Linked DNA regions of Lepisosteus oculatus. The main gene of each other region encodes a partner of the protein of the gene in region 3 in a complex. Links are inferred from orthologs where the notes say so. Each region holds a gene or a part of one and is shown on either strand. Other genes may lie near its edges. The genes, in order: surf1, tmem186, coa1 and cmc1.

Region 1 (7,593 bases), on a different chromosome or scaffold from region 3:
GAAAACTACTCCATTAAGCTTCAGAAATGCCCTCCTTCAAGCATATTGTATCCATATTGTATCTTCTCCATGCTCATTCATTAGAAGGATGTTTTCAGCAGGCGAATCGGCGCTATATACCCCAGGTCGGAGCAGTGGAAGGGTGTGATGACGTTGGCTCCGCTCCCTCCACTCGACATGATCCTGCCGGCCTCCTGGGCCTCGCGCTCGGGGTCCACGGGGGAGCGCGGCAGCACGTACAGCTCCCGCGAGTGGTCGAAGCGGCCGCGCGCCTTCACCCGCTGGTACTCCAGGGCCTTCAGCTCCAGGAGGCTGGGGAGACAGGCACGCGCAGAGGCGATCGGTGAATACGCAACCCCAGTGTCGAACACCGGCTCCGAGTGACAGCCGTGCTCACCTCACGCCTTATAGATACTTGAAAGAAACAAGGATAATGGCAGAAGAAGCTAAAAATTATTAGATCAGAGGCCAGAGATGCATGCCTTCATTAATTCATCAAGGTGTCAAGCGTGCAAGAATAATAATTCCTAACACTTATATAGAGCCTTACAGGTAATGGGGACTCCCCTCCACCACCACCAATGTGTAGCCCCCCCCGGATGATGTGACAGCAGCCATAGTGCACCAGTACGCTCACCACACATCGTCTCTAAGTGGGGAGGAGAGCAGAGTAATGAAGCCAGTCCATAGATGGGGATTATTAGGAGGCCATGATTGGTAAAGGCCAATGGGAAATTTGGTCAGGATGCCGGGGTTACACCCCTACTCTTTTCCAGAAACACCCTGGGATTTTTAATGACCACAGAGAGTCAGGACCTCAACTTTATGTCTCATCCAAAGGATGGTGCCTTTTGACAGTATAGTGTCCCCGTCACTATACTGGGGCATTAGGACCTACATAGACCGCAGGGTGAACGCCCCCTGCTGGCCCCACTAACACCTCTTCCAGCAGCAGCCTTTGCTTTCCCAGGAGGTCTCCCATCCAGGTACTGTCCAGGCTCACACCTGCTGAGCTTCAGTGGGCTGCCAACTGTGATTTGCAGGGTGATATGGCTGCTGGCTATAAAGCGTTTGATATGTGGACTGCAGCTTGTATAACTGCTTTAATGTTGGACCTACAGAGCTCACAAGTATGTACGAAGTGATGAAATTTGATCTTACGAACCAATGTTCGTAATATCCTAGCTAAGTAACAGCGGGGTGGCAGTCCTGGCCCTAGAGGGCAGTTGAGTCTGTCCAAAGCAGCAGCACCTAAAGAGGTCAGAAAAGCTGTTAACTGGTCCCACTGATCTGTTAAGAGCTGGGGGGGGGAATGAACACCCGCAGACACACCGACTCTCCAGGCCTAGTGTTGTTAGTGCTCGTAGCAGCATTCTCCACCACTTACTCCAGAGGGAGGTCAATCGGCTCTGCAGCAGTCCGGCTCTGCAGGTCCTCGATCAGTTTTAGTTTCCATTTCCTCCGCTGAACCTGAAGGAAAAATAAAAAAAAGATCTCTTCCCATGTTCTCCTTCATTAATGACACGCGGTGCACCATTCTCAGATCCGCAAATCAGGAAACTGGTAGAGATATGCAAAGGTGAACTGTACTACAGTTGAAATGGTCAACTAGCTTTTGGCAGTGTGTCATTGCTATGATTTAGGATTATGTACTGTAGGTGCAAAACTACAATTCAAAATCTAATGATAGGTATGTGTGTGGCGTATAGCTTTCTGAAAATGTCGGTATACCTGCCATGTTCCCAGGCCAAAGGTGGTGGCTGGAATCAGCAGAAGGAACCATTTGAGTAAGGTGTCGTTTCCCTTCTCTGTCTCAGCCGCTGTGGGGCTGGACTGTGAGTACGGTCGGACATTCCTCCCTAATGACAGAAACAAGAGCAGCGGGTACTTCTAAAACAGACACTGAGCCTGGATAGAGCCTGACCATGCAACTAAACTCTTGTCATAAACATCAGTTCAAACAAAGACTTTTAATCCCAAAACACAGGCATACAAGAACATTCACCAAATGTACAAAATGTAAGTCTGAAAAAAATCAATGTTGAGTATGGAAATCAGGTTATAACACCACCTGCAAACCTGGGTTACTTCCTGTTGTTTAGTTAAAAGTACTTGTTTGGAAACCATCACCTATTCATTTTCAGTAAGTTCGTGCTCCTGAGGGTCACAGCTAGGTGGGGCTTATCCGGGAGGCTCCTCCGCAGTTTCTACAATTTGGAGTCGTTAAACAAATCCACCCAGCATATCTGTGGAAGGTGGAAGGGAACTTGCAAATAGGAGCACAACGTGCAAAATTCCACACAGACAGTCTCTCAAGGTCAGAACTGAACCCAGTACTATACTTTGGGTAGTGTACTTAAGGCCACCTCAAACCCAACAGCAGAATCTTGTGCTGATTACCTAAGTAAGCCCTGACACCCCTTGGAGAAATATCAAATTCGCCTCTTCTTTACCATTTCAAATTGTACAGCATGTAAATGCTCAAACAGACACGGCTTTTCAGGAACTTTCCCCTTCCTGATAGGAACAAGAAAGAAACCTTACCCTCACAATTCCTTAAATTAAGAAGCGTGGAAAAACCGAAGCGTCGTCCACAAACCGTCCCTTTGGCGCATAAGTGATGGGTCTGAAACAACATTCAAAAACGCACGACATCACCCTACATCTCTTATAGAATAAGAGGACAGGCTCGCCTTTGCTTACTCTAGTCGTGAAAAACAGTAATACTTTGTAAAAAAAAATTGCATAACCTACATGTAAACAGAGACCACATTACAATGTCGCTCAAATTTATATCATTTAATTTTATGCAAAACTAGCGTAACTACTTACATTGTTTCTTAAAATCATCAGAGCTCTGGTAGAAGACATTAAGACTAATTTGATCCTACTCATTTTGGCGAAAAAGCAAACTACAGTACAAACTATATCTGAAGACACATTTGTACGGCCACAAGGTTGTTTTCCGGGGACTGGTGATACAGTAACTACTTCCGACAGCAAAGCATAGCTCCTCCTCATCCGTCTCTAGCTCGAAGCGGAATTCGATCTGTATCAATCAAGTCCAGCATGGTTAATCACGGCTGTAAAAGTGGCAGACTTATGTTTAGCTAATCTGTTGTACGTTATCATTAGTTTAAAAAAAAAAACAAGCCGAAGGGGAACAGAGGAAAAAAACGTTTTCTGTTTCTCCAGCCTTGTGTTTGCTCGATGATGGCGTGCTTCGATTGCTTACGTCTTGCCATGTGGGTCCTTTAACAGAAGATCGCTTGTACTACACGCAGGTATTGGGAACTGTGTAAACTGCTTGATAACTGTTATTATTACAAGAAGGTAACATGCTCGACTGATATTTATTGTTAACGAATTTTTCCGATCGAATATATGTTTTGGAGATCGAGCTGGTAGCCCCAGTTACACAAGTCTAGCATTTCAGTTGAGCTTCACTTTATGATACACGTGTATTGAGTGGTAATCGTTCTCAGGTTTTCTGAAACACTTTTAAACATAGTTGCTAGAAATACAAGAGTACTTCAGTAAAACAAAGAACTTTAACATAATGCGGTTAATTAACACATTATTATCTTATTATACGAAATGTTGAGCCTGTCAACGCCTTTCATGTGTAAAATGAGTTCTAAATCTTGCTTGTCTTTCTGGCTTTTTAAAGAAATGGCGAGTCTTGTTTCAAAGGACGCATACCTTCAAAAACTAGCAAGTAAAGTGTGTGCAACGCAGAATCAAGAACCGCGAAAACGACCCTTTGGTAATATTTCAGTTTTTCTTTTCTTTTACACATTAGGAGACCATTATAATTATAGACATTATTCGTGTTTTCATTATAAGGGCAGAGGTTAACGGTTGTGTGTTTATGAGACAGGCTGCCCAGCTACATTGTTGTAAATCCTTGGTACGTCAAGGATCATCTGGATGAAATTCTCCGACCAATTAGCTACTAGCAGCCAAGCTAGATAGACTGGACGGCCTCATTATAACATTTTTTTTTTATGATTGACTACTTGTCAGGTTTCATGGCAGTCTATTATATATTATAGTGTATTTGTCAGTACATGAACACGAGTCTCATCTCAGTGTGGTATTTTGTCATAACTAAAGCAATTTGAAAACACAACAGATATCAGGAGATTATACAGGTCACAAGGAGATTGTTCCATTCTCCGCAGTATATAAATTAGATTGTTTTTTTTAGGTTATTGCACTGTTACATGGAGTATATATCCTACGTTCTAATTTTGATACACACTTCAGTAAGAAACATTACCAAATGTAACCAACATTATTATTAAAACGCCCTAGTTCCATACAGGAGCCGGGAGGCAGATCAGCCAAAGAAGAAAAAAAAGGAGAAACCAAATGGAAAAAAGACTTCAGAAGCCAAGCAAAGGAAGCCTGTAGTGAACACCACAAAGAAAGGATCTTCTCAGCCAGCATCCAGCAAAGCTCAGACCACTGTGCTTGATGGCACCAGTGGGACAGTTCTGAATGGGACAGCTGTCAAGACAGCACAGGCACCCAAAGGTGAGAATTAAAATATTGTATGAAGTCATTTGAAAGCTCTTGCTTTGACAGCTTTCAAATAACAACAGTGTAATTTAGTAGCACCAAAGACATGATTGACAGTTTTGGATGTTGATGCTATGTTATAGCTTTGTTAGGTTTATTTTTTGTTATTTTGGTCGGGAACCTCAAACCTCTCAAAAGTTGGAAAATATTGTTTAGTGTCCACTCACTTAATTTTGTCTCTGGTCCAACTTGCTTTTAGTTATTGTATTTTTATAAATCTTATGTAAAAGTATGAACATGTTTTTTTCAGACCATCAGTTTGACAGTGTGCTGTTGTTTACACAGCTTTTGTGATTCATATTTTATCCATTGTTGTTTTGTATTTTATGTAATTCAAGTGAAAACAATCCTAAAATTGTTTAGGCAGGTGGTACTAGTCTTGAAGGTGTTGCGTTTCCTTTACAGATGCAAAGACTGCCACTGACTCCTTTTTTGCTGTGGATATTTTGCGTCAGAGACTGCATGAAAAGATTGAAGAGTCCCGTGGCAATGTATGTATATTTCAGCTAGGGATGTTCCCATATTTAAAGAGAATAATTTAATTGTTTAATTGAAAATGTTGAATGCAGCAGTTTTAGATGCCTAAGATTTCACTGTTCTGTTATCTGTAGTTACTGTAGTGTCAAACAAATGACAAAGTTTAGGTGTCTGTGAAGCAGAAGTCCTTTATTCATATGCATATGGAAGTCCGGCTTGCAACCACCAGACTTAAAAAATAAGTAGCTGAAGATGGTCCTTTATACCTTAAAACACAAAGAGTTACAATGACATATTCCAAATAAATGATAAGACAGCAACACCTGCCAATTAATTATATCTAAGTTGCAGACTAGACAACAGTTAGTTATTTTCATATTCTGGGCATACAGCCAGCTTACCAAATACATGCCCTTATCTTACTGACCAAGGACAGGCAGCATCTTAATATACATTTGAGCACAAAGCCTACGTCAAGCCACTAGACTGCATAGTTTGCAAAAACATACAAAAACAAGAAAATGATATGATTATCTCACTTCCCGGGCATCTCTCTTATCTCTTAATTTTTCATTACTCTGTAGTACTCTTAGATTTTACTTTCTTTATAAATCCTGAACCATGATAATAAACACACCCAGACAGCTTGGAATCTGATTGTTTTAGGATTTTGCTTATCCCTAGACCCTAAAGATCTGGAACAACTAAACTGAATGAAACAAGCAATTTTTGTAAAGTGATATAGAGATCATTTGGAAAAAGGATACTGAGGACTTTTCAATCTTCTAGAGTTTCATTAATGGACCAGATTACTTGTTTAATTGATCAGTAATGTTTAAGTGGTTTTAATCTTTTATAGAAAATCATGAGTCGGGGTTAGAAATGAGACCAACAGGATTGGAGCTTGGAGTAGGGTAGATTGGGGTTCAGGATCAGGAATGGAGACACTTGTTCTACACATCACCCTTTCTGGGGGTGTGAGACATGCCAGATTGTGCAGAAGGCTAAAACAAAATTTAAACAAATTGAGCACAAGCACGTAAGCTACATTCTTTCATCAAACCCAGGCATTTAAGTTTAAAAGAAGTGTGTCTTTTTTCATGTCTTTTCAATTTTACTGCAAAACGAAAATAAATGTACAATGAGAGGGATTCAACTGTAGAGTTAAGAGATATCTGAGGTTTAAAGAACTGAATTACTTCAGTGATTTTTGCTAAGGGGTGTGAGAAAAGCATTTGAGAATCAAAGGGGTGCAGGCGGCAGTAAGGAGGGGTAATCGCTGCCTTATGTCTTTCAGGGAAGTTCCAAGGGGCTGTCAGCTGAAGACTTGGCAAAGAAACGTGCACGAAGAAAGCAGGAGAGGGAGCGCAAGAAGAGGAAGAGGAAAGAGATAAGGATGAAGAAGCTCGCAGAGAAAACCGGAGAAGGTGAGACAGCTGAGGAGTCCAAGGGCGATGGGGCGAAAGTCGAGAATCCAGGTGGCACCGGAGGAAGAGGAGGAGCGGAGACCTCAATAGTCTTCAACAAGGTGGACCTGAGCGGGGAGTACGTGAGCAAAGCCCAGCAGAAGAAGGAGAAGAGGAAGAAGATCAAGGGCAACGTGACGCCGCTGACGGGGAAGAACTACAAGCAGCTCCTGGACCGCGTGGAGGCCCGGAAGGCAAAAGTGGAGGAGCTGCGGAGCAAAGACGAGGAGAAGGCCAAGGAGCTGGAGGAGAAGATCAAGTGGACCAACGTGCTGTACAAGGCCGAGGGCCTGAAGATCAAGGACAACGAGGAGCTCCTGCGCCGCTCCCTCAAGCGGAAGGAGAAAATGCGTGCCCAGAAGAAGAGGCGGTGGGAGCAGCGCAGCGAGAACGTGCTGGAGAAGATGCAGAACCGCCAGGACAAGCGGCGCAAGAACATCCAGAAGAAGAAGCAAAGCAAAGCGGAGAAACGCAAGGACCGAGCCCGCAAAAAGGGCCGGATCCTACCAGAGGACCTGAAGTAGGCCCAACGGGAATGTGAACGAAGCACAGTATTATCGTTCTGGGCCAGCTCATTTCCCCCCCCACTTAATCAAATATGGTTTTAATTTGTTTCCACGTCCTGTGGGAAATGTCATTCACTGCCGCTGTGTGGTGGTCTCCTCTGAAGGTGGCAGCTCACTCCCACTGATTCATAGCAAACCCCCATACCAGAGTTGTGTACATCTACTGTTTCAACATGTACAGTACAGGAGTGAGAAGACTCGTTTTTTAAAAAAAAAAATGTGAATAGGCTAATAAAAAAATGATAACAACACTTTGGGAAATTTTATTTCCTTCATGTTGCGAGAAGATTGTTTTTGTCATCTGTAGTTGTCTTATGAGACTGAGGTGTTAATACCAGTAGATAGGAGGTAGGTAGTGCCAGCATTGGAAAAATGTCAGCCAGTTGCCGTCGATTATTTCACAGTAAGTTGCACTTTAGGAATACAGTAAATAAAGCTTAATTGCTGTTTTAAAAGTGGAAGACAAGTTTGAAATAAAAGGTTTTGCTTGCTCACAATAT
Region 2 (6,123 bases), on a different chromosome or scaffold from region 3:
CTTTTCCTAGTACCACCATCCACGGTCTCCTCTATATATTGTAATTGTGTTTTATCATGTGTATTCTTTTTATTTATTGTTGTTGTCATTCTGTAAAGTGCTATGAAAAGCCACCTTTAAAGGCGCTATATAAAATAAAGTTTATTATTATTATTATAAACTGAGATATGCCCATTCATGCAGACGGCACGGCTGTGGAGTGTGGGAGTAAACGGGAGCACCAGGCAAACGCCCACAAGGTAGCCGAGGACCCAGACAAGCTGGACAATCGAATCCAGCACACAGGTGTAGAGGCCGCAGCGCGGTCGCACCAAGGAAACCCAAGAAAAAGGATTCTCTTCCGCGCAGCACTCGTGCACATCCCATTTCAAGTGTGGAGTGGCGGTCAGGGCTCCGGCCTTGTAACCGGAAGGGTATGGGTTCAAATCCCAAGCCAGACATTGTTGGTGTAGCCATGGGTAAAGGTGCTGCTCCCATAAAATACATTCGTACCCATTTATAGCGCTAGGTAAGTCAATTTGGGTTAAATTAATCTTTAATTCATACACATACTTTAATTCATGATCTAATTAAGCACACAAGAAGGCCTTTTTTCAACACTATATTACATACCACCACTATATGCAAACAGTGTCAGAGGTCCAGCCCCCGACCCAGATAGGTCCTGTTCTTTTTCGGCATCTTCACCCGGCGGCTACAGATCAGCCTCCCGGCCGGAGAACGATTTGCAAAGCTGGGCCGTAAGGAAATGCCAAAGAGCAGCACCGCTACAGGCATTCCCAGCCAAAACATCCACGATTCTAGTCACTGCAATACTGGATAGTGGCAGTTTTCCTCCGACAGATTAAGTCAAGTGTTTCATTCTGCCGATCCTTCGCCTTTCACCGGGAAACCATTTTAAAACAATGCTTTCTTTGGAGTGTCAGGGGACAGGACCAAAGACTTCCACGAATGCCCGTTTGTCCACAACCTGTCCCAGGCGAATGGTGAAGTACAGGACCTCAGGGTGGCTGTAGCGCTTAAACCGCAGCAACATCTCATTGTGGGGGTCCCCCGTATCCCCGAGGGTCATGATATCCGCCACCGGGACATACTGATCCCGTCTTTGACCCCAGAAGGTCAGGTGGGATACCTTCAGGACGGTTTTAGAGTTGTTAATGTACATCATCCCGATGATGTGCCGGAGGTAGTGGCTCAAAGAGAACAGCATCACGGTGGCAAAGACAGCAACGCCTGTGGCGTAGCTGACGAGGGTGCCGGAGCACAGTCCCTGCGAGAACAGGTAGTATACAGGAGGCAGCGTAACCACGGTGATCCCAGTCTGGAGCAGCTTGAGTCGGGACACTGCCCTGAGGACCCTGATGGCTGGAAGCCTGTAGATCAGGGAGAATTTCTCATTGGAGCGGTTTTCATTGGAGCGGTCTTGGTGGGCTCCAGTTAGCAGCTGGCTGTGCACCCTAAGTGTGGTCCATACTGTGCGTTCCTGCATCGAAGCGAGGGGACGGCGTTCGTGCTGGTGAGGGGTGAAGGAACGGCCACCGACCAGACATCTCTCACGATGCGCTGAAGCAGAAGCGCCGGGCCACACACACGGCGAAGCACGAACGGTTCGCAGAGACAGTATTGATCTGTACTTTAAAGGAGATAAGCGGGGGAAAAGTTTGCTTATTATAGACTCGTGTACTTGACTAATTTATTGTTAATAATGAATAAACCCAAGCATGAAGGTTAAGACACAGACCAAGATTAACATGTCAAATACCACAAAACAGGTGAACTAGCTAACAGTATTCTATTCGACTGGGCTGTAATAAACGTGTCACAATCACAAACGTCTCTTCACACATATCAGAGCAACCCTCCTGAGCATAATAAAAGTATTTGCTAAACAATGCATCATCCTAAACGTAATTGCTTCAGATATTAAAAGGAACGATGGTGCAAAGTCAATTACCATCACAGCAGACCGAAGTTGCAAGCCAAGAGGGATGACATCATAAACGCTCCGGGGGGAAACAAAGCCTTCTTCGACAGAGTACCGAATTCATCGAATTCCCCCTGATCCTTATTTTTTTAAGAACGTTATTGAATCAAACAAAATCGTGTATATGATACTGCTTACTATTAACCGCAAAACGGACATACATTGTTTTTCTAGAGTTCGGTTACTTCAACCATCTCTAAAATAATGTCTTTGTAGTCCACATCCGGACTCGCTAGCTCATTTCCGCCGATGGTGAACCGAAACTGTACTACATGTCCCAGAGTGACACGTAATCTTTTCCTGGTGGAAGAGGTCTAGTGTGACTGTGATATTTGACTTTATTTTCACGTTAATCACAATCAAGACTATCTTTTCATTATTTGAAACAAGCAGTCAGACAGTTAAGAAAATGGCACCATCTGGGAAGGATACGACAACCCTCTGCTTGTTCGATGTCGATGGGACTCTAACTGCAGCAAGACAGGTGAGTTGTAAATATTTCGAGCTGGTTTTCCTGAAATGCTCGTTCTTCTTTGGAGAAGCTAAAGATGATCCTGAAAATGTGAAGGGGTCGTCGCGGGATGCTGGGGTATTCAGTTTCAGAAGGCGCGGATTAATGAGGATGACGAGAACGTTTAAATCAGCAAAAATAAAGACGTGTTTCCATTCTGATCTTTCCAAGCCAGTCACTCTGATGTCGAAGTGGCACCGTTGATTTTAGTTTCTGGCTAGCTTTTACGAACATATTTAGACAACACAGAAAGAAAAGGGAAAAGCAAACTGACTTAGAGTTCTTTGAACAATCAACAGTAATCAATAGTTAAAAATAGGGTTTTTCGTTCTTAAATTCTTATGAAACTTTCCCCTCCACAGAAAGTCACCCCTGACATGGATGAGTTTCTTCAGAGGCTGAGAAAGAGGGTGCGAGTTGGAGTAGTTGGGGGATCTGATTTTGAAAAGATCAAAGAGCAGCTCGGAGCAGATGGTGAGTATTGACAAGCCATTAATCATATTGATTGATTAATCATATTGCAAGTCAGTTGGAAGATGAGTGATGGTAATTTGCCCACCCTGAGGCAAAAGCAATACAATGACTTTGTTGTGATCTAGGTTAACTATCTGAAGCCAATCCAGGCTATTAATGCTGTTTTTTCTTTAATAATTATAAAGTATTACATTTAGCAGCTCCAGAATCTGTACAAATGCATGATATTTGTAGGAAGGTACAAGCAACCATACCTGCTGCTAAATGCATCCTTTGTTGTAAAGATATTGTATTTCACATTTGAACCTACACTGGGAACAAAGCCTTGTAAATCTAAGGTATTGTAATTTATGCCTATTTGATCTGAAGATTTTTGAGTGGAGGGGTTTTTAGTACAATTACCTCTCTGCAGGAAGGCTCTCAGGTGCTGGTCAAGACTGAAAGCCTGAGATAATGATCAGTGTAGCTGCAGTATTTGTAGGATATAGCATTAATAACTAAAGTATTAGTATAGTATTAGTAACTAAAGTAGTGTATACAAGGAGGAGAAAAAAAGGTAAATGTAAGAAATTCTGTGCATATGATTATATACGATCTCCAGTCTGTTCACTTTGCACAGATAATTATAAACCGCAATTTAAAATGAGCTGATGGGTTTTTTGACAGTCCAGACAACGTCATACATTTCGGGATTGAAAAGCGGCGAATTAAACTAACACCGCTTAAATCACGTTTCTTAATGAGTAATATGAAAATAAACTACGTGTAATTCATCTAGTTAGACATTACCACGTTTTTACACGCACTGTTACTCCAAACGATTGAGTGGTTGTAAGCGTTTCCGTGCAGAGCTATTAAATTTCCATTTAAAGAGATCTATTGGCATTACCAGTGGACTATAATTTGACCAAAGTAATGACATTTTCAAACGTTCAGAACAACAATTAAATGTTAATTTGAGAGGCTCACCGTGTATCTCAGCCAATCAGAGGGCTGCCTGTGATGGGCGTGACGTGGGTGTGTCCGCTGTGCGCAAACCGGATTGCAGGAGATTGAACCTTGACGTCTTTAAAGGTTCATTACAGTTCACCTGTTTGTTCCTGTTTTCCTACCACCATGTATAGGCGTTCAATTATAAAATCTGCATTTCCGTATTAAGAGAATAGGATTCATTTTGGGCCCAGTTTTTTGTTCAATAAAATACGAGACGATTGTGGTTTGCACAGCGTGTTCATGGGCAGGTAAACATCAAAAACGTCAAGAATAGCCCCGCAAAATATGCCAGCGCTATTAATAATCGTAGCTGAGTGTTCCTTATAAAACGTATATTGCCCTGACAGGTTGACTAACGTTTGTTCAAAGTGAAGGAGATGAAGGAGTTTAAAGAAAGCACAAAGTGACACTATAAAATACTCTCATCAATGTCTGCTCTTCAGAAGCACATAAATCGAGACCACGTTTTCCATGAAACATCAATATTCACTATCCAAAGAAGATTCAGATCACCTTTGTTCATTTTATAACATTTACTTGTTTTGGCTAATTAAGAAGTATTGTCCTTTGCCACAGAATGGCTAGTGAGATTTGGTGGGCCTGCAATCAAATTAGTAAACTACCCAGCTGTATAATTGGGTACAAGTGAAAGTTGCTTTGACTGAAAGCATCAGACAAATGAATTTGTAATATTTAATTCCTGCTCATCTGACTCTGCCCTGTGTTGGATTCAGCTGAGAAATCGTTATGAGAAAGGACTCAGTGAACACGGCAGGGGTGTGCTAATGGGCGAGATGAGAAGATGGGAATTGTGCACAGCACCCTGGAGGCCACAGCATCAAAGCAAAGCCTTCTGCCTGTACAGCTCTGTTCAGTTTAATGAGCAGGGGGCTGTCACAGAGTCTGTATCTCTGTGCCCAGTGCCTTATCAAAAGTGAAGAGCAGGCACCTAATGGTACAAGGAGTTCTCCTTCAGTTTGCTTATTTTGATATTTCATCTTGTCTAGTCGAGTACAGAAAGCCCACTCTGCCTCTTCTTCACAGCCCAGTGTCTCTGCAACAACCAGTGCAAATCTCCCAGAGAAGCTGTTGTGTCAGAGATGTTGGGCTAGAAAACCCAATACTTTCCACAGAGCTGTGCAGAAGGAGAGCTGTTCATTGCTGTTCTTTATCACTGAACCTTTTTTTGTTGGCAGTGGTGGAAAAGGTGGATTATGTGTTTGCTGAGAATGGATTAGTTGCCTACAGAGATGGAAAACTGTTGTCTGTTCAGGTAGGGATCATCTCCTGACAACCTTAAAACACAAACTGACACCGCTGAACTGCTAATACCAGCTATAGAGCACGGCATCATTAGAAATGACCATAATATACTTAAATCATATTAAGAGAATTGTCATGGAACATGTTGGAAAAATGAACTTTTTCCACACTGTTCTTTCTGTGATTTTTAGGACAGCTGAAGTGATCATTTGTTGTTGTTTTTTAATTCTTTTCAGAGCATTCAAGCACATCTTGGCGAGGAACTGCTCCAAGACTTTATAAATTACTGCCTGAATTACATGGCAAAGATAAAATTGCCCAAGAAAAGGTGTGATGGTCCCCAGATCTTCCTGACCACATTCGAACTGCAAACCATGGTCTTACTTAAGCTCTTCGTGCTAAAGCATAAAAATATAAAAAGGGTTACAAATGAGAGAGTGCAGTTCAGTCCATCCAGCCATTTCTTTAAAGCAGTCAGGGTGTCGGTTTCATCACTATGGCTGGGTAGCTTGTACCAGACTCCCACGACGCCTCTTAATCTTATATTTCAATGAACTTCCATGTAGTTTTTACGTTGTAAAACCTTCTTGTTTTAGTCACATGACTTTTAAATCACTTTTCTATGCCTAAAGCTAAGATTATTATGCAGAGTTCAGTTTGTTTCAGCCTTATCAGTGCCGGTGTTCCGGTTTCAAGTTCCACACATGAATACCATTTGTGAACAGCATAGTTTTAACAGGCAAATTGATATAGCCAGGCTGTTTGAAATTTGGTACTCTGTCTCTTCACGTTTGGAGCTTTGCTTTAATTAACTCGGCAGTCGTACAGGGCTGATTGACTCTCAGCAGGTCAGCTCGTAATTCGTGCTGATGACTTCCGTTTCCTCCCTGCAGGGGCA
Region 3 (7,569 bases):
ATTTCTTTAAAAATATCAGCCAGGATGCAATACCTCTGAAAGGATAAAAGGAATTCTCAAAATGTTTGTTAAAAGAATCTTTTTCTATGTCTTCCATAATGTTATAATATAGATCCACACAGCCTGAGCTAGAAAGGGAAACTGCCACCACTATGAGACTGGGAGTCAGGTTGTAGGACTGTATCCAGGGTCCCCCTTTCCTCTTGTGTGAATCACAACCCACAATGGCCCTGTCCATTCCCTTGAAAAACATTACTTCAGTTCTGCAGATAAGCTTTTCACGTTGTGTACGTCTATGTGAACAGAAAACATGCCTCAGACAATGACAGAAATTTCTATTTTAATAAATATTAGCACAGGAAATTATTACAGACACTAGAAGCAGATAAGATAAATATCTAGAGTATTCTACCAATTATTCTCAAAGAAACAAATGTTAGTCATAGACCATAATGAAAACTCTTCCTGAAGTCTGTTGAAACAGAGGTAATATCCGCTCACTGGAAAATATCTACCATAGCACTGATACATAATAATAGTGACCGCTCCATTTTATTGTAAAGCAATACAATATAGATTTTGTGCAAAATGTGCATAGGTATATACAGATTGAAAGTACCACAGTATAAACAGTATATTACTGCAGTGTCCAAAAATTACATTAGTGCAACATGCTGTCCATAGACAGCCTAGCCTAGGGCAGTGTTATACACCCTGACAGCCGCCGGGAGGAAGGACCTGTGGAAACGTTCCCTTGAACACCGTAGCTGGAGCAGTCTGTTACTAAAAGTGCTCCGCTGTCTAATAACAGTCCCATGTAGCGGATGAGATGCATTGTTAATGATGGCTGTGAGCTTGGTCAGCAATCTTCTCTCTGTCACCACCTCCAGGGGGGTCACGGCTCAGCCCCAAAACAGAGCCAGCCTTCTTGATGAGTTTATTGAGTCTACTTACATCTCTTGCCATGATGCTGCACCCCCAGCACACAACAGCGTAGAAGTTTACTCCTTAACAAACTTACTCCTGTTGGCAAACTTACTGAGCACATTACACTGAGAAGCAGAACCTTACTGGGAAGACTGCAGTAAAAATCTGAAATCGATATTTAAAAGGATTCACATGGAAAGACAAAACAAAAATCTTCTTAAGGTAGATGTCCTAAGGTAGATGGGCACTGAGAAACAGATACAAATTCTTGTAACAGTTCTGTAATGGTGAATTGGTAAACCCCAATTAACTTAAGTCATCTCTATGAAGACCAAAGACCAAATTGTCAGAAATGTTTTTTTTTTCTGTTAAAAACAAAACTTCACCAACTTCCACCCGTCACTCAAATATACAGTTAACATATCTTCCACTACTCTTCCGTTTCTAGACATCAACTTCTCCATTAACTATCCCTGACTCTCTACTTCAGTCTATTACAAACCCACTGATTCACACAACTATCTCCTGTATAGCTTATTTCACCCCAAACACACTAAAAACTCTCTCCCCTTTTCACAGTTCCCTCGGCTACGACGACTCTGCAGCGACATCGATTTCCAGAACCAACCCCTCAAAATGTACTCTTTTAGCATCAACAGAGGATACCCTAGCAGTGTTATTGACAGAGCCCTTGCCTGAGCCCAAAACATCCCTTGGACCATCAACTCAATCAAGAATTTCCGCCTTAACAACCGCATTCCTTTGGTGCTTCCCCACCACCCTCACTTCCTATCCCCAGGGCTATTAACGACAATTTTTCCATCCTACAGGATGATCCCTGCATTGGGGCTCTCTTTTCTGACCGAAACATCATCTCATATCGTCAACCACCTAATCTGCGTAACCTTCTTGTTCACAGCTCCCTTGACCGCCCTCAGCAACCATCCACACCAGGCACTTTCCCTTGCAACAGAGCTCGTTGTATCAGCTGCAAGAATGTATCTAACACCACACTCATTCAAGGCCTCTCAGAACAATTCCAGATCACTCGGATGACATCTTGTACCTCCAGCAACCTTATTTACTGTATTTCTTGCAGTAAACAGGAAGGAGACTCGGAGACTGCTTCAGAGAACGTGCCAGGGCTGTAAAGATTAAAGATTTCTCCAAGCCCATTGTTTCTCATTTCACCTCTGACGGCCATGATCACACTAATCTCTCCATTTGTGTTCTCAAAGCTGGTTTTCCTAATTCAAACATCAGAAAGACTACAGAAACTAAACGTATCCTGCAGTTAGGATCACACCTTTTTCCTCTCAATGACAGACTGATTTTCTTCTAAATTCTCTCTTTTCATTGTAGGTTTCATTTCACACCTCTCTTCACCTATCGTGACATCATACTACCTGATTGGCCACTTTGTCTGTCCCACGCTCCCACCTCTCGCCCCTCCTCTCTCCCAGCTTTTGTTCTCCTATGCTATATTACCTTTGCTTACTGCCCTGTCCTTCTTACACCTGAAGAAGGCTCCACTGCCAAAAAACAAAAAACATAGATGTACATACAAAAAACATGAATTTAGAAGTTTTAATTGCCACAGGATGTAGAACCAAGTCAAAACAATCTTCCTCCTCTGTTCTTCAGCTGAAGAAGGCTCCACAGCGAAACGTTGTTTTCTTTCTTCTCTTTTCAGCATGGAATAAACCTATTACTTGTTCCTTTGCAGCCTACGCATGCTGACGCAGCTACCCACCTGAACTTCCTCTTCTGTCATTTGTTTTTGTAAATAGTATGATGTATTTCGACAGTGCCTTTACTACAGGGAGCTAAATAAAAAGACTATTCCAGATTCTTAGCCAATTCCACATATTCAGGAAATCTTGGACATCTTATAATAATAATAATAATAATAATAATAATAATAATAATAATAATAATAATAATTGCTTACACTTATATAGCGCTTTTATGGACACTCCACTCAAAGCGCTTTACAGGTAGTGGGGACTCCCCTCCACCACCACCAATGTGCAGCATCCACCTGGATGATGCGACGGCAGCCATAGTGGGCCAGAACGCTCACCGCACATCAGCTATCACTGATAGTATCAGTGGGGAGGAGAGCAGAGTAATGAAGCCAATTCATAGATGGAAAGTCGTGGTGTTCGGTTTTAGACCTTTTTTCGACTTAATGAAACTTGGGATTTTATACAGACCCGAAAAATACTAAAGTAAAATATGTATTAATTCAGGTAAAGGGCTCGCTACAGTGCTGTACATTTCCATCAAACACTGCCGAAAAACCTGAAAGTACACCCAGGTCAAATGGTGAAGCCATCAAAAAAGTCGAAACACACAAAACCTAAAGCGTACTGTAGACCGCTAAAATAAATCCAAAACAAAGCCAAGACGAATAGCGACAAATCATTATCTTGAATATTCGGATTATCTTGTGAAGCCCTGTAAATTAATTGATCCATCACTGTTAGAACGCCTCTTATAACCTAAAAGGTCATTTCAAATATTTTTTGGACAACACTCGGATTATCTGACATCCACTGTCTCAAATGTTTCCATAAAGCAGATGACTCGTGCAAAGGAAAAGAGGTGCATACATCCACGACCTCAAGTGTGTCATATCCAACAACTGTCAAGCGAAACCTTTTAATTAAAAAAAATCTGCAAGCTAAGGGTTTCTGTCTGACCAAAGAAATTGACCAACATTGTATTAATAACTACTAAAACGCATAATACAGCAGTTTCACATCTCTTTCTGTCATAACTCAATAAACACCCGGGAGTCTCTTACAATATGATGTTTTTAAAATATATTACATTTCTACATCGGCCAAGGATACATCAATCATCACGAAAATTCATATAAAAACTGTTCATAACCCAATACTAATAATACCAGACAGATCTTACTTAGGGAACTCTTGGTAAAAGTGAGGCATGAAAAGCTAAACAAAACTTTTTACATACTTTTAACATGAGGACGCAGGCAGACAGTATTTAATAAAATACACTTTGGGTTATGTAACAATTTTACAGCTCACATTGATGCAGTGGCAAGCCTAAAACAAACTCTATAAAGAAACATTGCTTAACCGTTACCAAATATTAAATGTGTGAGTGTTTTTCAACAATACTAGATTAAAATAGACGAAATCAAACAAGATATAGACAATAAACTTAAAGACTGCATAAACCAATTTGCAGAGGTTACACAACACTAAAACTGAAAGCAGTGATGATGCATTCTTTATTTTTTCCATCTTTGCCATGTGGCGTTCATTAAAGCTATTCACCTACTGTAGCTTACCCGTCTTTTATCGTCCTTCTCTTCGCTGTCGCTCCTGTCAACTGCTGTAACTGATCGCTAAATGATGTAACTAATTTAGATACAACTTTCATAACTCGCACATGTCAAACAGGAGAGGTTTTCAGTGACGTAACCACACCCGGGCGTTTCTGCATAGTATCTCCTATCACGATATAACAAAAGGACTTAGGTCGGGGTGCATGGAGTAGATACGCAAGCCTTTTGATTACATAATGCCCCCTAGAACATTAATGATGTTTGGGATGTGAAAATATTTTAGTGTTAAGAAAACTGACCCCAATGTTGTGCTCATGTTAACCACTTAGCTTGTCTTCTTGTTAATAAAGATATGACATTCAAGACTAAAATGGCTGCCCCCTTGGAGGATGTGTAAAAAAATTGTGTAAGTCACTGTGCGATTTAAATGTCACTTATTCATTGACAAGTTTTGGTTTTTGATACAGGCACAATTCATGTTACCCAACGTGAATTCTGTTTATTTCGTTTTAAAACTAATTTAAATTAATTACGATGCAGACAACTCATATCTAGTCCAGCTTCTGTACTGGATTGATTTGATCATTTTCATAGAACCGTCTATTGCACCGTGTCACATTAATATTGATCTTTGATAAGATGATACTACATTTAACATGAGGTATACTAAAATGTTTATCGTAGCTCTAACGTCGGAATTACAGTATACATTTACTACAGTATAAATCCATGTTCAGCGCTAAAAATGTTAGAAATACAATACTTCACCTACCCCACAGTAGGTGATATTGGTATAGTGGTGAAACAAGTTTGGTGTCGACCAGGAGTGGGGAAAAATAGACTGGAGGATGTTAATTGTCCTTTTTACATGCTAGTCACTGGGGAAGGGAGTTAAGTCCTGAGAGAAAGAGAAAAAGGGACATCTTCTTGGATGGACACAAAGCAAAGATACAGAAAGGGGGATCTACCGTATCTATCTATTGTTATAAAGAAAAAAGGCAGGAGGAGGTAACTGTATCTGTCCACTCTGGAAGGTGTGGAGTGCTAGAGTATATTAAAGATGAAAGATTTGTCCATCTTAAATGACTACTTTTAGTGATCAAATATGCCTGTATATTTAAAATGATCTTCTGCTTGAAGACAACAAAGTCTTCAGATAAGAGGTGGTAATTGTGTAATTCCTTTAATTTTGACATGTTGTCATTACTTATTAGTGAATAAGAACATAAGAAAGTTTATAAATCAGAGGAAGCTAGTTGTGCACAGTTTTCTGACCTAACTCTTACAAGTGAATGGTAAGGTTTTAAATCAAATCAAATCAAAGTTTATTTATCCAATGCACAACAATACAGCGTGCAGCAGTAGTTGCTGGCAATGAAATGTCTTTTCTGCAAGCTCACGAAAATCACAAGAATCACAAAAATCACAAAAACACAAAAATCACAAAATTGAGGTTATGAAAATAAGGTTACATAATTATAGATGTAATAGAAATTGAATAAAACTCAATATGAGCAGAGCTGCTATGTGTCCATGGTGTATGCAGTATATGCAAGTAGTGCAGTTATGCTTAATACAGTGAAAACTTTGTGTCCATGTAGCCATTACAGGTGATTTGCTAAAGGAGCTGCAGGCAGTAACTTAACAGCCGTTGATTCAATTGTATGATATTATTTCTGTACTACTCTGTTTTCTGTTAATTTTCCATGTTGACTCTAAGCTTATTGCCATAGAGATAATCTTCCAGTTTAGTTCTTACAAACCGTTGCAGTCATCCCAATTTAAGTTCTTGCATCTAAAAAAAAACCCTTTACACCAGGAACCTTCTACTCCATCTCCCTTGTTTTATGAGGATAACAAGTCTCAGATTATCATAGTCTGATTAGATAGCTTCAGTACATGTGCTCTGGCCACTTTCCACTGGGTAGTAGCTAAATTTCATGTTCATGTAACCATGATTATTATTAGCCAATATTATCTGTCTTTCTATCTGTTCTTGATGCCAACACTGCCAACCCAACATGTTCTGCGGCAGCAATAGTATTTTTGTCCACTAGATGGCAGTACATCATAACAGTATAATAAAGGTTGACACTATTAGTTTCTTCCGTAACATAACGCCTTTTTTTGTCTGAACTTATCTTCCTGCTTTTTTTCTACAGAGGCTTGTCATTTTAAATGATGGTTGCATAAATTTAATATACTTAATATCATGCAAAGGTTTTCAGAACAACTTAAGCATTTGTTTGTAAACATTGTTTTCTGTATGTTGGTCCAAGCAATTTGAAAGCTGCACTTTCAGTGTGTAGTTTTTAATTATTCTAGGGAAAGAGATATAACCTTTCAGTTTAACACTACAGTAATTAATCTGGCAGTATCTTTTTCATTCATGCATTTTTCTCTTTGCAGGGTCAGGCGAAAACGTTATCTGGGTTTTTTTTTTAATCTGTGACTTGTAGAGCTACCAGACAAGGTAACCATAACTAGCTGGCATTCGGAAATCTCTTTATCATCCTCTTCTGAACTGAATTCCTCTTTCCTCCTTGAGAATATATTTTTTTCATTTCTAAAGAGCAGTCCGGTGTTTCATCAAACAAAGCTTTCAGGCAGTCTTTGGTGCAGGATAATTTCGTCTTCTGAGCTAATATGGAAAGCAATTTAATTGAGTAATGAAGAAGCCATTTTAGTAGTTCTGTATTTGTAGTAGAAACACAGATGTCACAAGAACATTCAACTGTAAAGTGTGTTTGTATTTCTGTGGATGTTCATTTTATCATTATCATTTGTTCCTGCTCGATAACGTAGAAAAACCTGTTTAGTGGAGCTTATATGATGGACAGTGGTCCAAAACAGGATCTGGCCCACACTATGACTTTCAAGTTAATAAGGTTAATACCTGTAAAGTTAAATGTCAAATACGGTTTTATTTCTTACACTAACAGCAGTACCAAATTGCAAATCGTAGTTGTGACCATCAGGAATTCTTAAATATCTTTAATGACTGTATATTTCACAATATCATTAGTACATGTAATATATAAACAATTTTAGGGTTTACACATGGTTAAAAAAGTTCCTCTACAATAAAGAGTTCCTAACATGTGGTATGTGCATATCATGCAATATATATGTCCATCTTATGAAAAAAGAAGCGTGGTATGTAGACACAGACTGATTAGAAAGCAAGATTCAAAATGCAAAAAGTTGCTTTAACCTGTATAGTTAATGATAACTCATTAGGGTGATCAGTACTAGACATATTTTCCAATATTTCTCCCTTAATACCTTAATGTTATAATGAAGTCTGACATTATGACATA
Region 4 (7,531 bases), on a different chromosome or scaffold from region 3:
GTAAAGGGAGCTTGAAACAAGCTAATCAGCTATTTTATTGGAGACAGAACCCTGGCTTCTTTGAAGAAAGGTCTGGAAGAGATAATCAGACCAATTAGCTACCAACTACCAAAGAGGCTAGATTCGTTTAACGGCCTCCTGTCATCTGGAACCTTTAATATACTGTTTTCTGACCTTGCCCAGAAGGGACAAGCCATAACAGCATGTTTGATCTTAAGACTACAAACTCAGCCATCCTCTACCACACAAAACTACAAAACAGAGTAAGATTTAATGATTAAGGGTTGTCTTACCAGTAGTTTACAACTTTATATGACCACGCATGCTATATAGCATGTCACCGAACCGCTATATTTCATATTTATATTATGTGTATTTTTTCACTAGCCACTAGAGACTGAAGACAATACAGTTAAGACAGCACTGGAAAACAGTAATTCCAGAACGTTCTTCCTGAAGGGGCTTGGAATGCTTTACGTATAGGAGGGTACAACCCTCATCCTTCCCTGAAGCACAGGACCCCTGTGGGAGACATGGGGCGCTCGTGTTGAGCCAGCAGCTCCTCTGCACAGCAGGTCAGGTGAGGCGCTGAGAGATGACTTCCTGCCCCGTTGACATGAACAGGTAAGTGTCAGTAGGCCAAACTGGGGAATTGAGTCAGGACACCAGGGTTAACGCCTCTGCTCTTAGGAACAGCGTCATTAAGATCTAGTTCGTGGCTAGTTTTCATTCCCTCCCGCCTACATTAGATCACTGAAGCCTTACTTGATCTAAGCAGTTGCTTCAATTGATTCAAAAACAGCATTTTGTTTCCAGTCACAAACCAGGGATTTTATTTCACTTACAAAACAACAATGGTTAAAGCTCCCAGCACGTTTAAGAGCTGGGCACAAACAGCTCAAATTAATCACATTATGAAGGCAGTAATATTTAAGTCAAGGAAGGGCCGGATTGTGTCATGGCTGGAGCAGAAACCAGCACTGGGAACCTCTGCTCCAGACCCAGCAGTTATGATCTCAGTTTAACACCTGATCTGAGGGATGGCTAATAGTGACTGCACACAAGTACCGTGAACCATTGTGTGCAACTACAAACACAAAAGATAAGGCACTTGCGGCCAAGATCAGTGATGCGCAATGCCAGATAAGCACATTTGTTTTCAGATTTATTGTATTGTGCCTTGTGATTGCTCATTTTAGAGCAGTTTTGCATGACAACTCACACACCACGCATTTACGCATTTTAACATAACTTCTATTACTTTTGCAATACGATATTCAGAAAATATCTGCATTGTCTGGGACAGTCTTGACTATGTCGCGAAATGCTTATTTACTACATAATGTAATGCTTTTGACGTTGTATGCTGCTAATTAATATTGACTGATCTCCCTTGTTCATGCAGCATTCTTCATGACTTTCATTGCAGACTGCAGGAAATATGGTTTAAAAAAAGTTAACAGTTTGCCCCCATCCAGTCATCGATATCCCTGATTGACCCTGTAATTAGATCAAGTCCTGCTATAGGCTCCCCAGCTTAAAAAAGGTTCCCATTTCTAGCCTATGGAGAGTGTTATTCTGGCTCAGGTTTAGAAATCTGCAATACCTTGCTGGGAACAACTCAAGTGTTGACAACTGCCTTATAGACGAGTACTGGATTGAACTGAATGAGCCCGAGTGCAGCCGGGTTAAAATGCTATACCATCAGCCCCTTGCAATTATTACTAGCATGTGCTTAACAGATGCCCTTAACTGGAATGAATGACAGCACACACCAACGCTCAGGTGACATGGAAGTACAAACAACACAGACAGATTAGACAACACAGAAACCATTCTGAAATTACGTTTCATTCTTGCTTTTGCACATATCTTTCTGGTCGATGGAAAGAGCTCTGGTCAGGCTAGTAGGTCAAGCAGCTCCTTGAGGTTGACCTACAGTTCTTAGTGGCTGCAGTGCTTCTGTGTTTATGCTTCTTGATGTCACAGGAAACTATATTATTTAGCGAGACCATCAGAAAAAGCTCTGGGGAGTTTTTGTTTTTACTTGCAGAAGCTGTGCACATACTATATGAGGTAATAAGACACACACATTCAGATATTCTTCCTTGAAGGGTTTTAGGTCAAATATCAGAATCAGGCCTGGAGAATCACATTTCTTACTTTATTGTTGGTACTGAAGCAAGCAATGCATATTCCCAAGATAATTTATTAATGATTACAACACGTTTAATCACCTGATAATGTAATCGGGCCTTTCAAAAGCGCTGGGGACAATGTTTCTATGAACTTTGTCTATTCCTTTTATTACAGTGTTTGTATAGGTGACTTTAAACAGCAAAAGGGTGTCTGCCCTGTTCTGTGTTAACTTCATGAAACCCCGAAACATTTTTTTAAAAACCCCAATGTTTCCATCTGAACAGCAAAACTGATATCTGCAGGTAAGACACCCCAATTGTAAAACCACCCGCACAAAAAGATCGTGTGTCGCGCAAACTGCTCGTTGTTTTTTTAAAGTATCCAAAACACGTCATAAGGACGCAGTAAAGAAGTTCACATAGTAAACAACCGCAGTTTAGAAACACGATAAGCGCCATACCATCTGACACCGGAGGGTCTACTCCACTGTGCCTTTTTCGCAATCCTAAAAGACGAATAAGGCTTTGCGTTACCATCACCAAGAACTGATCATAAGGGCCGAATGACATGCCAGTAATATTCATTTGAACGGGCTCTATGAACTGTCTTGAACACCCTGATGCTGTTACAAATGTTTGCTATATGAAATGTTTCAAACAGCACGGGGGGTGAGGGGGGGAGGGGACTCCGGCGATAACTCCAGCATTTTTTCTCCAGCCCTTTATGAGACGTCGCGCAATGTTTACGGTACCTGTTTTGGCTGACTCCATGGGTAAAGGAATTTGAATCTCGGGTTGCTAACGAGAAGCCAGTCCCCCGTCCGCACCGACCATGCTGGTTTCAAAGTGACCTTTCACATCCGCACCAGAAGTCCCGCCTTCCCCGGGCGCCGCTCGGCCAATCCGGGGCTCCGGTGCCGACGGGAGCTGCGCCGGTGGGGATGCGCAGCACAAGCCCTGCTGGCAGGTACTCCGGGTTGTGCAAGAGCGGGTGTCCCGATACAGGTTAATAGCATCCTTAAAAAACGCCTTAAGAAAGTAAGCGGAGTGGTGCACAACAGCTGCCTCTGCCGCCTAAGAGCCGAGACTTGACCCAGAGTTTAAAACGTTTTACCTCGCCAGTATACCCTTACATTAATGTTACACGGATCAAGTTCTATGCTGACGTTTAATGCGGTCAGGGAGCACCCCTTTTTTAGGTGCGTTACTTTTCTTCCCTCCTGGTCATTTCAGAAAACGAAACTCCGACTGGATCTTTCACCGGTTAAAAAAAAAAGTCGATGAGTAATTGCGTAACGCAGGCTGATGTTGGCTTCATTCAGAACGTTTCTGCCCTTTAGAAAGACGCCGACGTTAAATGCAGTGCATCGTTGCAATTAACAAGACCAGAATGAAACTTATTATTATTAGAGGGTGTTTTGATTAATAATATTTACCCCGTTTCATTTGTGCATGGACGTCAGATCGGTCATGTAATCAATACCGGGATCCCAACACGTTGATTCCCCTGTAGTCGTAATCTGTCAGGGCTGTGAGGCAATTGGCCCAGTGCCTCTCTTTCTGGTTTACAAAAATTTAAGACTGGTACTCACTTGGTCTATGTGGCCAGTTTGATCATAATAATAATAATAATAATAATAATAATTATTATTATTATTATTATTATTATTATTATTATTATTATTATTATTATTATTGACACCTGAAGAAGGCTCCACGGCCAAAACGTTGTGTTCTCTTTCTTCTTTTTTTCAGCATGGAATAAACCTATTGTTCCTTTGCATAATAATAATAATAATAATAATAATTGCTTACACTTATATAGTGCTTTTCTGGACACTCCACTCAAAGTGCTTTACAGGTAATGGGGATCCCCTCCACCCCCAGCAGTGTGCAGCCCCACCTGGATGATGCACCAGTACTCTCCCCACACACCAGCTCTCAGTGGGGAGGAGAGCAGAGTGACGAAGCCAGTTCAGAGATGGGGATTATTAGAAATGTGTAGTTTATTGATCCAACGATCTCATCTAGCCAGTGTTTGGGAAAAAAGACAAACTATCGGCTTCAGTCACATGCTTTAATTATATTTTGAGAAAATAGATTTTTGGATTATAAAATCAGTAAAGGACAGATTAAATTGATCTAAAAATGTAGTGTGATTTTAATTTATTTTTATATGCAACAGGGCTTAAAGTGTCCTCATGTGGAGTTTTAAGTGGAATAAAATCTTCAATTCAAAGTCATCTCTGTGACCATCCATACTAATCCGCAACACAATTTGTCGCTAAAACATGGCAAATTGAATGGCAGTGTAAAACTGCTTGTTCGGCCATTCAGTTCTCAGCAGAAAGGCAATCTTTATTCATTGTATCCATTTCAGAACATTTACAAACGTCAAAGACATGCTGATGGGAGGCATACTAAAAGTACCAGAGGGACAACTATATGTTGAAGGTATAATCAAGTAATGTAAGGTAATACTATACCACAAACCTCAATAAGTGGCTCTGTGCCTGTGGTTGGTAGGTTGCTGGTTCGTATCCTGCTGCCGGCAGAGGAATCCTACTCTGTTGGGCCCCTGAGCAAGGCCCTTAACCCCATCTGCTCCAGGGGCGCCGTATAAATGGCAGACCCTGCGATCTGACCCCAAACTTCTCTCCCTGTCTGTGTGTCTCATGGAGAGCAAGCTGGGGTCTGCAAAAAGACAAATTCCTTATACAAGAAATTGTATATGGCCAATAAAGTGATCTAATAAACGAATCTGTAAAATAGAAATAAAATCTAACCATTCACAAGATACTTTAAATTTTCAGGGATCTAATTCTTTTAAGGTAACAAGTGTTTTCAGAAGCAATAAGTGTGCTAATATTTGCAAGAACTTTTTGTTCTTTCTTATTGTTTTTTCATAGCTTGCTGTACAATCACACAGATCAAAGTTTAATATGTATTGGTAAATGGAAATAACTAGCCTTTTCAGATAAGGAGTTGTGGCTATGCACATTTATTACTATTGCTTAGAATTAGTATTAGTATAGAATTAGCATTACCATTTAATACTAGTGCTTGTCTTTGTGATAGAACGAACGGACACGATCGGATTCTGTAAACTGGAATGAGTCTTTTTTTTCTGTGCGGTCCGTGCTGCCAATAGCATGTTATAATGGTTTTCTGCTGGCAGCAGTTAGAATCAGCTCTTCAGGGAGCGACATAGGGGGCTTTGAACTTTCAGTGAGGGTTATGTCCTCCATCTGGGTCGCTAACAGCCTGGCATCACCAGCCCATGAATGCAATACAGCTTGGAGACTTTCCATCTTCCATTTCCAGCACGTTCGCGATGTCGTCCTGTCTTCAGATTAAAATAATGGTAGAGGGGTGCCAAGAGCTTTCTTGTTCCTAAGGTGTTGTCTAAGGTTGTGCCTAAAATAAGGTACTTATGGTCATTTCTAACTTGTATTGAGGAATGTATTTCTGCTGCATGCTGTAATCTCTAAAAAGAAGAATACTCTTGCTCTCTAATAAGAAGCCACTCTGCACCCATTTTCTTTGGTTTTTAAACGTTACTTCACAATTACACTTTTTGTTCTCCCATATTTAGAATGATCTGTTCACTGTTCGGACAGAACATACCCAGACCCAGTACAGCCCAGACTTTCAGGAAACAGGCTCGATACCACAAGTGTCATTGCTCGACAGCATTAATACCTACCTAAGATTTGCATTTCTCTGCGTGATGATCTGTTTAGCCAAACCGATCAAAACCGAGGCCAGGCATCTTTCCCAGTCTCGTTAGATACAGCTCAGTATGGGCTGATATGGAACAGTTCAGATTCATTTCTAAATTACCTAACTCACTGTACTCCTGATCACAATGAGACTTCCTCTCTAGCTTGTCACTTGCTGTTGGAACCTAAACCACATGAATACCAGATAAATTGCCCTGTTGTACCCAATTGTATAGTGAGGGGCAATACTGAGGGGGCAGTTTTTTATTCAGAGGTCCTAAATCCAATTTATTGTAGGGCTGTCCCTACAAACCTTGATGCCAACTACGTCACACCTGGTTAGATGGATAACACTGATTCCAGAGTGCCCACAGTGTGGCCCCGTGTTCACAGAGTAACACCCATGCTTTGCTTTGAGTGGAGTGTCCAGAAAAGCGCTATATAAGTGTAAGCAATTATTAATTATTATTATTAATCGATCTAGCAAACAAACTACACGTCTTTGATTCTTCATACTACACTTACAGGTACTGTATGCCTTCATTTTCTGGCAGTGTTACAGCCAAGCTGGGTCGAATATCAATTGTCACTTACAAGGAGGACAATAACTGGTGAAACTGTATTAAAAAAATGTTGTTGTACGCGAGGAATGTTTAAGTCCAGATTGGTAGACTGACCCACAATATACTGTACCAATGTGACAGGATAGGAAACTCTGTTCTCAGGCCCTCAACTGCCTGGGTTTACTGGTATTCAGGCCGTGTAATTTGTTTATCAAAAGAGGATGTAGAGGTAGGTTCCAGAAGATGAAAAACGTTATTGTTCTTGACTCTGCCTGGCTTCAGATGAAAGGTACACCACAGAGTGGGTGACTGGAGGCCGAGCAGGCCCGTGTCCTATCTCACGGTCTCGGTTTTACCACGAATCTGTAGCCTTGCTTCTGCCCACATTTTCAACTCATGAAACGAGGAGTGAACCGTAGAGCACAGGTGTAAATTCTACATCGCGAAGGCACAAACAATCTGAAATGAAAGATCTGAGCTCTCGCCGTGTGCCTGAAGTCGATACCACTCCCCTGTAGGATGTTGTAGTCATTGAATTCTTTTGCTTCAGTCCAGGTGAGCAGCTTCTCAGCAAGAACTGGTGTGCTGGAACATCACACCTCACGTTTCTAGGCTCATATTGTAGCTTTTTATCAGTTGTTTGAGTGACCTTGCTTTTCAGTAATGTAAAGAACTCGTAAGGGTTCTCTGCCGTTATGAAATAGAAAAAGTACATAAAATTGGATTTTTTAGCTCAAATTTAGAACATCGTAAGCAGAGCACAAGCTTATCCACCTACAGACGCTAAATAAATAAAAGACAACCATCATAACAATGCAGATGTCACTGCTCTGAGACGGAAAAATATTTTCTACAAAATAGCAGGTGTTGGACCATGACAGGAGATAATTCAGTCTTGGTCCAGAAGAGCGATCGCACGTTTTCTGTGGGTGCTGATAATATTACTAGTAACACTAGTAACTGTAACTGCTCAATGTTACAGTGTTAACAAAAGCTCGGTTGCAAACACAGCAAATACTTTAAAGTAAATACATGAATTCAACATGGGAAGTGGGTTTCTATCTTTTTTTACATCACTACAACTTTCCTTGAGAAAAAAAAAATTCTA

What was found.
Region 1: coa1 (region 3) and surf1 share a complex: the UniProt entries of both Homo sapiens proteins name them as parts of the MITRAC (mitochondrial translation regulation assembly intermediate of cytochrome c oxidase complex) complex. The link is inferred for Lepisosteus oculatus from reciprocal best matches to the Homo sapiens genes COA1 and SURF1.
Region 2: coa1 (region 3) and tmem186 share a complex: the UniProt entries of both Homo sapiens proteins name them as parts of the mitochondrial complex. The link is inferred for Lepisosteus oculatus from reciprocal best matches to the Homo sapiens genes COA1 and TMEM186.
Region 4: coa1 (region 3) and cmc1 share a complex: the UniProt entries of both Homo sapiens proteins name them as parts of the MITRAC (mitochondrial translation regulation assembly intermediate of cytochrome c oxidase complex) complex. The link is inferred for Lepisosteus oculatus from reciprocal best matches to the Homo sapiens genes COA1 and CMC1.

Annotation. Positions count from the first base shown.
Region 1 is NC_090719.1:7,896,102-7,903,694, reverse strand, and holds the start of surf1 (surfeit locus protein 1), read right to left. Parts: upstream 3,001-7,593; 5' UTR 2,896-3,000; coding exon 2,833-2,895; intron 2,627-2,832; coding exon 2,545-2,626; intron 1,860-2,544; coding exon 1,732-1,859; intron 1,471-1,731; coding exon 1,388-1,470; intron 313-1,387; coding exon 121-312; intron 1-120. Other genes in the region: surf6 (surfeit locus protein 6), read left to right, coding at 3,673-3,766, 4,318-4,539, 4,990-5,075, 6,359-7,051. UniProt on the Homo sapiens protein: Component of the MITRAC (mitochondrial translation regulation assembly intermediate of cytochrome c oxidase complex) complex, that regulates cytochrome c oxidase assembly.
Region 2 is NC_090714.1:13,662,903-13,669,025, reverse strand, and holds tmem186 (transmembrane protein 186), read right to left. Parts: upstream 2,155-6,123; 5' UTR 1,958-2,154; coding exon 1,955-1,957; intron 1,634-1,954; coding exon 923-1,633; 3' UTR 518-922; downstream 1-517. Other genes in the region: pmm2 (phosphomannomutase 2), read left to right, coding at 2,394-2,468, 2,858-2,969, 5,159-5,235, 5,462-5,553, 6,119-6,123. UniProt on the Homo sapiens protein: As part of the MCIA complex, required for efficient assembly of the mitochondrial complex I.
Region 3 is NC_090701.1:24,137,058-24,144,626, reverse strand, and holds the start of coa1 (cytochrome c oxidase assembly factor 1 homolog), read left to right. Parts: upstream 1-4,564; 5' UTR 4,565-4,655; intron 4,656-6,658; 5' UTR 6,659-6,722; intron 6,723-7,569. UniProt on the Homo sapiens protein: Component of the MITRAC (mitochondrial translation regulation assembly intermediate of cytochrome c oxidase complex) complex, that regulates cytochrome c oxidase assembly.
Region 4 is NC_090705.1:40,611,378-40,618,908, reverse strand, and holds the start of cmc1 (COX assembly mitochondrial protein homolog), read right to left. Parts: upstream 3,017-7,531; 5' UTR 2,910-3,016; coding exon 2,891-2,909; intron 1-2,890. UniProt on the Homo sapiens protein: Component of the MITRAC (mitochondrial translation regulation assembly intermediate of cytochrome c oxidase complex) complex, that regulates cytochrome c oxidase assembly.